2 linked regions of the Schizosaccharomyces pombe genome follow. Changing the gene in region 2 together with the main gene of any one other region gives a genetic interaction. Each region holds a gene or a part of one and is shown on either strand. Other genes may lie near its edges.

Region 1 (3,628 bases), on a different chromosome or scaffold from region 2:
CTTGACTGACAGAGATATCATATTGTTGGGTTGTTGTTTAAACATCGTATGCATGGTTATTCATATAACTATTCACTATACAGGCAAGGAATTCGTACAACCTTACTTTATTATTTACACCCTTGTTTTTTTTGGATCTTCTATTGCTAATTCCCCTTCGGTCTCTTTATTGACAAAGGTTTTACATCCTAAGTACCACCTGATAGGTAACGTCGCTGTGCAAATATCAATTTCCTTATCCGACACAGTTGGTGCTATCTTTGGCGGTGCATTTCGCTCGTTCTCACCTGTTGTTTTTTTTGCGGTATGCTTAATATTAAACGTTATGTCTGTGCTTGCACTATTGATTATATGGAAGAAACTTAAGGTCAAGTTGCGCCTTGCATAATTCACTGGTAACTCAATGGTTAGGTTGCTCTCTATTTTTTTTTTTTTTTTTAATTTTTTTACAAGGGGGGGTTGATTTGTTGTTTATTTATAAATTTGTAAGTTGTGTTCCTTACAAATAAATCTAATACCAAATGGCTAATTAAATTGAAATAATGTTGCTAAATCTTTAATTATAATGAAATTAATTGATGAAATATACGTTAAAAGCCAAATGAGTTCGAATTTTTTATCTTAAATACTTTTTATTTTTTATCTATAGTGTGCCCATAGGTGCCTGCCCTTCAATTAACACATAGAGAGGTATGCCATTATGATCAATTAGACAAACAACCTATAAAAATCATCTACAGGAAAACATCAAAGGTACTTTCGTTAATAAAACATCTAAAAATTAAGAATATAATTATTGGTTCTTTTTTTCCTTCAAAGATGGAATGGCTCCCAGTTCTATAGCTAGCTGCTCATTTGACTGTAGAACAGGGTCATTTGTTGTCCATGTATATATTATTTGTCGAGTATGATTCTTTGAAGTTCGTACGGGTTGTGCAGATAGATAGCGGACATAAAGAAACGTATCTGCTACTAGAACCAAGATTGCTGAAAACGCACATAGCGCAATTTTCTAAATAATATTAAGTCAATACAAAGGTCTCCCAGGAACAAAACGAAAGTTTTTAATTCATACCTTTTCAATAGATAAAGATGAAGTGCAGTACCAAACAGCGGTCACCGTTCCTACTACTGTGAAGAGTATATTGATTATAGCGCTGATTTGGTTTTTCATTAGTCGTAACTCTGATTTTTTTTCTCTCTCAGGGTCCATGGATACGCCTGCCATTGATGGAAGCAGAGGAATACCATCATATAGCTCTTTCTCCTTTAAGATAGAAGTAGTTGTATTGTCTTGAGTATGGCTGTTTTCATCAATTTCGCCCAAGAAGACACTGTCGCTCGGCACAATCTGTACACCTCGAAGAAATTCCAAAAAATTGATATTCCTGTTATGTAATCGTAATTCCTTTAACATTTTTACCAGCTCAAATCCATCGACAGTTAATTTATTACACCGTAAGTCTGTCTGCTGTTTTTCGGAGAGCCTGTACAGCATTTTTGCAATAATGAGTCAATTTGACAATTTCGAAGGTATTAAAAAAGTAGAAGGGTAAGTAATAATGCTATGAAGTCTAGAAAGCAATCAAAAACGATTCATATAGTCCGAATTGCGTGAAACAGGATCAATCTAGGTTGGTTGACGATATTTGCTAAATTTCTATTGAGTTTTCTAAATGAAATAATTAAACCAATATTTTAATGTCTAATACTACGTTTTATATTGACCAACAAACAAACATGGAGACAGTGGTACATCCAAGTATTTGCAAAAGTCAAAGTTACGCAACGTAATACATAGCGTCCTATAAGAGGCAAAAAATGAAAATATGAAAGTTCCTCAACTTTTTTTGAAATCACCGTTTTGGTAATTAGCATCATAATTTTATTCTTCACCCTCGCTAACACTGTGCTAGGCCAAGCAGAATTGTAGACTTCCTCGTTCAGTGAGGTATAGAAGAATGGTACACGCTACTGTGATATTATATCTTTCTATGAAGTGACATAAATCTTGGTAACTGAACATTCAGTTTAATTTAGCGCCGCAATTGCTCTCGGGTATTTCATACAAACGATATTCAAAGATTATTTATTGGAATTTCAATATAATATTAAGAAGTAAATGCTACTAGCTTTGTTGGCTCTATGAGTTTTATATAACTTACGCAATTATTACTTGCGTCTATGGTTTCAAAATGTGTCCCAGTATGCTCATTCAGCGCTTGGAAAGCTAAAGGTTCAAGAATTTTTATGACTTTGGGTTGAATACTGAGATACTTCATGTTCAAAAATACCAGCGTTTCAACGGCGTTCAATTCTTCCATGTTGCACCATCCAAAGTACTTTTTTTTGCGAATTTATTTACGACAAACTTGGCTTACGTAAACTTTGGGGTAGCAAAATTCATATCGCCGCAGAACAGTTTGCAAGAACAAATATAAACCTAAAGAGGTACGGGTGAACAAATAGGTATTCGAATTAGGAAATGAAAAGTTCGAAGCTGAAGGAAGCTTAATTACGAAGACAGAATCAAATAAAGATAACTTCCTCCAGTATAGTTTTCATTTTTCCGAACGTCCATATCGTCTTTGCCTCTGCACCATTAAATTCGAATTTTTTCAACGATTTTCAAAGCTCACTATACCATATAACGTAATCTGAAGAAAGAAAGTTCCACTGATGCATGGACGCTATTTAGGTTTTTGCCCTTTATCTTTCATCTGATCTTACAAAGTCGCTTGAACCACGCTATCCTATATACCGAAGCAAAGGCCAACGAAAACAACTACGTTAATACCTGCTATATTGACTAAAAGAATGATATTTCACTTGGCAGCATTCGTTAGCTTTAGCTAGGAAATTTACGATTATTTAAAAAACCCATTCTTGTAATGCTCTTCTCATTTATTAATCTCATCATTTTCACTTCCAAAGATATAACGACTGAGGCGTAAAGCTACGCTACCACTTCCTATCAGTAAATTGTGCGACTTTACTATACGTTCTTCAAACTTCGTTATTTCCCCACCAAAAGACTTACTTGCAGAAAATTTTCTCTTTGTCACTGCTACACCCCGTTTACCACTACTCCGTTCTCCTTGGTCGTTTACTTCATTTTTGTCGAAGTAATCACAGCTATTGATTGCAATTTCAATTTATAAGAAACTGCAATAAGAGCTTAGAAGGAGCCTAATCCGTTTTCCTTTTTTTTTTTAATCTCCGCTAAATCCCTGCAGGTTTGAACTAATCAGTTTTCAGGAAGTAATTTAGAAAAGGTTCTACTCTCCTCCTAGAAACGCATATGTGTCCTATTCAATTAACCAATACTATTCCAGTGACATCTATGGCTTACAATCACTTCAGCATTCCTAAAAACATCGAGGAAAAAGAGAACTCTTTTTTTGACGTAACGTTTCAAGACGAACCCGACGAAACCACTTCTACTGCTACTGGCATTGCTAAAGTTTCCATACCTACTCCAAAGCCCTCTACACCTCTATCGACTCTTACTAACGGTTCTACTATTCAACAGTCCATGACCAACCAACCCGAACCAACGTCTCAAGTGCCTCCCATCTCTGCCAAGCCACCGATGGATGATGCCACCTATGCTACTCAACAACTTACC
Region 2 (6,199 bases):
CTAAGGGTTATTCAGTTTTATTTTACCAATAATGAATTTGTTTCTTTATCAAGCAAAAGAATGACCCACTCCTCAATCTTGAGGTTATGAGTGTTCATGGCTAGCTATTAAATGGATCGCCGTAAAGTCCTTAAGCTGAGCGCAGTTGTAAAACTTTAGACATATCCCAGTTTCTGCTAGGCTATTATTGAAAGAGTTTGCCGAGTATCAAGATTTACTAGTATTATAATAAGCAGATCGCATACCGGTTCATGCCAATTGGTACTTAAAAATTTTAATGTATGCGGTTCATCTCGAAAACTCAAGACGCTTACTTTAGCTAATCTAACGTTCAGTTTAGAAAAAGAATGCAATGCAAAAAGCGATAGCTTATTAAAAGACTTTCCTAAGGTATTGCATTCACGATCCAGAACAGCAAACCTGCAACGATCTATTTTGGTTTTAAAAGCGCCAACCTGCTCTATGCGTTTAAACCCATGTAAGTTTAACTTACAAAATAAGCAATTACTTTCAATATAATAAAAAATTGATCCAATCGAATATAATATATACGATTTCATTGTCATAATACCTAAGTTTTGACAGTAGTTTGCTCATAATCTACAAAAAAGAATAAAACTAAAAGAAAGAAAAAAACATGCATGGTTGTTCGTCAAACCTAAATGCCAATTATGCAGCGATATAAATATCCCCCGATCATTTGAGCATAGCTTCGAAGACCAAAGATACTCAGCAAAAGTAGGGCAGGTAACCAGAAAGAGAATAGCATAAAGTCCATTCCTGCCTTTTTCAGTGTCTTTGCCTGCTCCTGTATTGCTCTGGTTTCTTCAGGAGTAAGAGCAGTAGATTTTCCACGACCAACAAGCCGAGATTGCCATCTCAAAGACCACCAAACACTTTTGTGATGATCGGGATCTTCAGATATAGCGCTATCTCTTTTACTAGAACCAGCTTGCGCTGTCGTATCATCAGCAAACTCAGAATAAGGAGGGGGTACATCATCGGGAATGGCCGATATACTTTTTAAGGTTGACAGCATGGCTTTTTGCATCATGGATGGAACTTCACTCATATAATTCTGAGGTAGTTCTTGAAGCGATGGAAACATTGTAACAGTTTTATTCCACATACTTTCACTATATGACTTGGTCTGAACAGCAGATTCCTCAATTTCGTTAACAATACTGGTTGATTCTAAGGTTTCATTTGTATTAATGGAGCCTTCAGAATCCTTAATAAGAGAGCGAGAAATACTTTGGGCTTGTTCATTATTTGCTTCCTTAAAGACCAGTTTTATAGGCTCAGAAGAGGAGAGGTCTATCGGTTTTTTACCGCTAGCTCCTATAACATCAGGCTTGGCACCGTTGGAAAGTAAATTAACACATATGTCTTTATGATCATACAATGAAGCATAATGCAGTGGTGTATAGCCAAGTGCGTCCCTTTTGTTAACATCGCATCCTGCGTTGCATAAGAACGTCGAAGCATTAGACAATCCACAGGCAGCAGTAAGGTGGAGAAGTGACCTACCAGATTCGTTAACAAGACTAAAATCAGAAAGGTATGGTGTCGTTGTATCTGTAACAAGAGCAAATGCTGCGAGGATAGTACTTTCAACACTGTCATCAGACTGATTACTGTCTTTTTTCACAATCCGCGAAATAACCGATTTAAGCGATTCCATATTGCTATCATGCAATAAGGTTTTTTTAGACTGACCTTTAGATTCACTGTTAGGAGGCTGCTTAATAGAATTTGTTATATATTGAGCAAAATCGTCGCGCCATGAACTCAACAATTTTTTGGATAACGTTAATGGGTTTTGAATAGATCCAGTAAGTTTTAAGCCTAAAACTTGAACAGTTAATTTGTAAAGTTCATTATCTAAATTATCTTCATAAGTAAACATTACTGGCGCTTCAGAAGATGAATTATAGTTCTGAAAGGTTACAGGAACGGTTCCAGCATTAGTTGCAGGAGGACAAGTCGCTATAATCGTTGACTCACTCCACGAAAAAGTTACAGCAGCTGGGTTGTCACCAAATAAACAGACTAATCCATTAAAAAAGTTCGCGCCAAGAATTGTAACTTCATAACCTCCCATGATTGAACCCTTATTAGGAATAATCCGAGATATTAAGGGAGCATGTGAAACATCAGGTGGAGTCATGTTTATAAAAGAAGAATCAACATTTTCTTTTATCGGCGTACTTACAAAATCAGGTTTAGCAACCTCATCAAATTGTGTAAGCAAGTTGTTGACACTACTTTTTTCTTCAACGGAAAACGAGAAATCATCTGTACAGTAAGGGAATGGGGCTATTGGGGCACTTTCATTTGTATGGGCTTCAAGCACTCCTTCCTCTTGCTGTTGTCTTTGTTGGAAACCAGCGGCATCGCTGGGAACTCGAACAACATGGAAACCATTCTTTGAAATGGAAGGACTTACGCCGCTTGGGGTAGTCATACTCAGCACAGAAGGGGATTTGCTCATACTAAAGGCTGAGCCCTCAACACTTTTCAAAGTGCTTTTCGAATTAGGTGAATGCGAGTCACTAGCAGATAGTTGTATGTCGAGTGCTCTAGAATTTTCACTCGAGGATGTTCGACGACGCTTTTCATTTGGTGGATTATCTGAACGGGTAGGGAAACCAGTGACAAGATTGGGGACAGTATTGCTTTTAGAAAGAACATGGTTTGAAGGAGCTTGTTGAGAATTGCTCTTACCAGTCTTTTCTGATTTCGTAAGATTTCTACTTTTATGATCATCAAGAACGGTAACAGGCTCTGGAAAAACAAGACGATCCACCAAACGTGACATGGAGTATAAGTCCCATATGATGTGAAAGTAAGGGCATGATTGATGAGACGAGTAACATGTAATCCGTGCATTGATGTGAGCAACTCTTTCATTTCCATCCAATTGCAAACGAACGTACTCAGGTCCAGTAAAAACCATTATCATTCTATCTTCATCTATGTCTTCAAGTTTGGGAAATTGATTTAAGAGCTTGATCCTGAACTGCTGCTTTTCTTCGGGAGAGGCATCAGTCATGTTACGCTCATAAGCCTTCAGTTTAGTATAGTTAGGCATACAAGCATCCTTTGTTGCTTGAGATCGAGCATTGCGCTTCCTTTCTCGAAGTAAACAGCGAGTACAGCAAGTCTTAACAACTGAGCTTTTGTCACCTGCAAGAACGGTAGGTACAAGATGAATGACGGTCTCCGGATCGGGTTGCAAAGGCTGAGGTTTCGAAGAACGCTTTTTGTCTTCACGGTGAGCCCAACTTGGCAAGCGAAGATATTCAAACGGAACACTTTGATTATCGTTGCTCTTGATCCGCAACTCAAAAAGCATGTTAGTTTCCACCCGAGATTTCCATTTGTGCTCATTGATAGCTGGTAAATGATTAACTGAGAACGCGTACTCCTTATTAGAAAGAGGCGGTGCAGACGTATTTAAAGAGGAAAATGCATAATCTTCGGCATATGGCGTAAGAGTATTAATAGATTCGTTGAAGGGAGTTTCCAACATGGTAATCGGCTGTCTAAACTGTAATGGATCTTCGATGGCGCCCGATGACTTTACAGAATTAAATCCAGCTTCATAAGGTGCTTGTTTCATAGGATCCATTTTTAAAAGATAAACATCCGACTCTCCAAACATGGGATTATCTCCCAAAGGTTGATCAACGGTATTAGCTAGAAAATTAGCATCAGAAATAGAATGTTGCGGAGTAGGAAACACCGTTCTGTTCAAATGCAAACTAGGATTGATGTAGTCTTGCTGACGATCAGACGGTAAACATTCCGCTTCATCTTGTGAATTCGATAAGTTAGGTGAACTGGCATGGGATAAAGACGGAGGAGCTATACTAGGCAAATTTAGACCTTGATCCGGCAATCCATCGAAGTTAAAAAATTCACGCATTTCTGCATCGCCGTTTCCGGCTTTTTCAAAATCGGGAGAGGAAAACATATAATCATCAGAGGAAGACCTCCCCTCCTCTGAACTAAATTTCATGAGCTTGTTTACTTCCCAAGTTCCTTCTTCCTTAGTCGAATTCTCGGTATTTTTGGCGATCAAATTTCCAAAAGAAAATTCTAAATTCATCTTGAGAGTACTTTGAAATGCAATAGACTACCTTTATAAAGGCAATTCTTTCAAAGAATTTAAAGGTCTTTAATGTACTACTTCTTTTCAATTCTCACTTTTGCTTTCCTCCTCGATTAGTTGGTTGTTGGAAGCTGTCGCTGCGCTACTACACTAATCTCTTCCATCACGTTGTGCAAGTATTACATGCTTTCCACTTGAGCACACATTCTCTAGTATTACTCTTATTTTAACAAGTTATTATGTTATATTTATTTAAATAATTAGTTTGTGGGTTTTGTTTTTTAGTTCCGCCACTTTCTTCATATTCGATTAATTTCCTTTCGGCATTATATACCAACAAAAAAATTCCCAACATTCTGATAAATTTAGTAGAATACATGTAAATGAAATTGTTCTTGTCAAAGTACAACTTTCCTTAAAAAATTTTTACAATGTTAAATAGGTTTTTACACTATCCCGCATACATATAAGTTGAATGTTCATAATACTTATTTTATTCGTTTTGATAAATCATTAAATCTTTTTATATACGATCATTCTCAAAGTACTTCAATCCAACAACCTGTTAACTTCAGCTGCAAGAGTTGTGCACACATTTATACATACAGAAATACTAAATGCGAAAATGGCTCCGATTTGTTAGACTGTTCCAATCAAGTCGGCAAAGACAACGGAAAAGCGTAATAGAAATTAATCGGTTACATTGATGTACATCAAGGCATCTTTGACACGTTCCCTTACATCAGGAGATGAGTGATTTTGTAGCATCTGCAAACATTCTCCAAATCCGAGATTTTGTAAGATACTTGCTCTTTCCTTATCTTCCTGGCTTGGAGATGTACATTGTTTGGGCCATAGAATGTTAATACAGAGCCAAATTCCGGCCAACAGAATTTCGGAGTTTGGTTCATAAGTGTCCTCTTCATAAATATCGAAAGGAGGACGCATTTCCCTATCAAAATCATCTTCTTGCAAATCCATTTCACTGTCACTTTCCGGAGATGACACATTTGTGGACATTTGCTCGGGCTTGAGACGTTGTGCTTCTTGTAGCATAATTTCCTTCACCAATAGTAGTAGTTTGGTTTGCCTTAGGATAGAATCCCTAAGCTCACCATCGCTGGCAGCGATGTGCACCAAAATGTAAATACTGGGTTCAATTAGGATAGGATTTTTACTTTCTAATTTTTCAAGCAAAATTTTTGCTAACAACTCCATAGGAACCATTTTCAAAAGAAAATCCACGCTTTCTTCTTTCTGACATGTAAAATTTCGCAGCACTTGCAACATTTGCTCTTGGACCCCCAGATCTTCGTCATTGCAAAGTTCCACAAGCTTTGAAGCACCGATCTTTTTTAAAGGTTCAAGCTGGATCGTCTCATCATCACCAAATACAACATGCCGCAGAACCCACACGGTCTTCTTTCTTAGACTGCTATCTTTCGTACTAATATTTGATATCAAAGTATCAATGAAATTTGTAGTAAGGAATTTCTCTCTCAAAGGAGAAAACTTAAGTACCAAGTTACAAATGGCAGACGTAGCAGTCGATTTGACTCTAGTATCCGGGTCAGAAAGCAACTTTATTAATGGTTCGCTCACGTCTGCATCGGCAAGGCCCGTACGTAAAATGTAAACGCTTCTCGAGAGACTTAATAAGCATTCACAAGCAGCCTTTTTCACGCTGTTAGAATTGATTTTCAAAGCATTAATGATAACAGGCAAATATTTAGCATCAACTATTAGTTTTCTGTATTCATCTTTAGAAGTTGTTAATGCAGCAACGGCTAGCAAAACTGATTCTAAGATTAGGTTTTTTTGCTCCTTTTTGGTAGCAGGAAGATTAAAACAAACGCTGGATTGCAATTCATCGGATAAAAAATTAATTTCATTCTCTTCTTCTTTAGTTGCGTATTCTAGAAGATATTTGGCAGCATCAATAAAACCTGCATTTACAGCCGTCTTTTGCATAATTTCGTTTTCATTGATTATGATGGCGAGAATACGAGGAGCGATTTGTTTTGCTTCTCGAGATTCAAAAAATAAACGGATGAGAATGGGAGTTACTATCATTTGAATCTC

Evidence for each region. A genetic interaction does not mean that the proteins touch.
Region 1: mutations in mga2 (region 2) and vph2 together harm fitness more than expected from each alone (negative genetic interaction), as found in Schizosaccharomyces pombe (2 studies listed by BioGRID).

Annotation. Positions count from the first base shown.
Region 1 is NC_003421.2:66,401-70,028, reverse strand, and holds vph2 (V-ATPase assembly protein), read right to left. Parts: upstream 1,778-3,628; 5' UTR 1,499-1,777; coding exon 1,076-1,498; intron 1,013-1,075; coding exon 794-1,012; 3' UTR 550-793; downstream 1-549. Other genes in the region: SPOM_SPCC757.11C (transporter), read left to right, coding at 1-388; RNA-binding protein Rnc1, read left to right, coding at 3,344-3,628. UniProt on the Schizosaccharomyces pombe protein: Required for vacuolar ATPase assembly.
Region 2 is NC_003424.3:4,123,127-4,129,325, reverse strand, and holds mga2 (IPT/TIG ankyrin repeat-containing transcription regulator), read right to left. Parts: upstream 4,244-6,199; 5' UTR 4,115-4,243; coding exon 659-4,114; 3' UTR 521-658; downstream 1-520. Other genes in the region: protein Gid5, read right to left, coding at 4,808-6,199.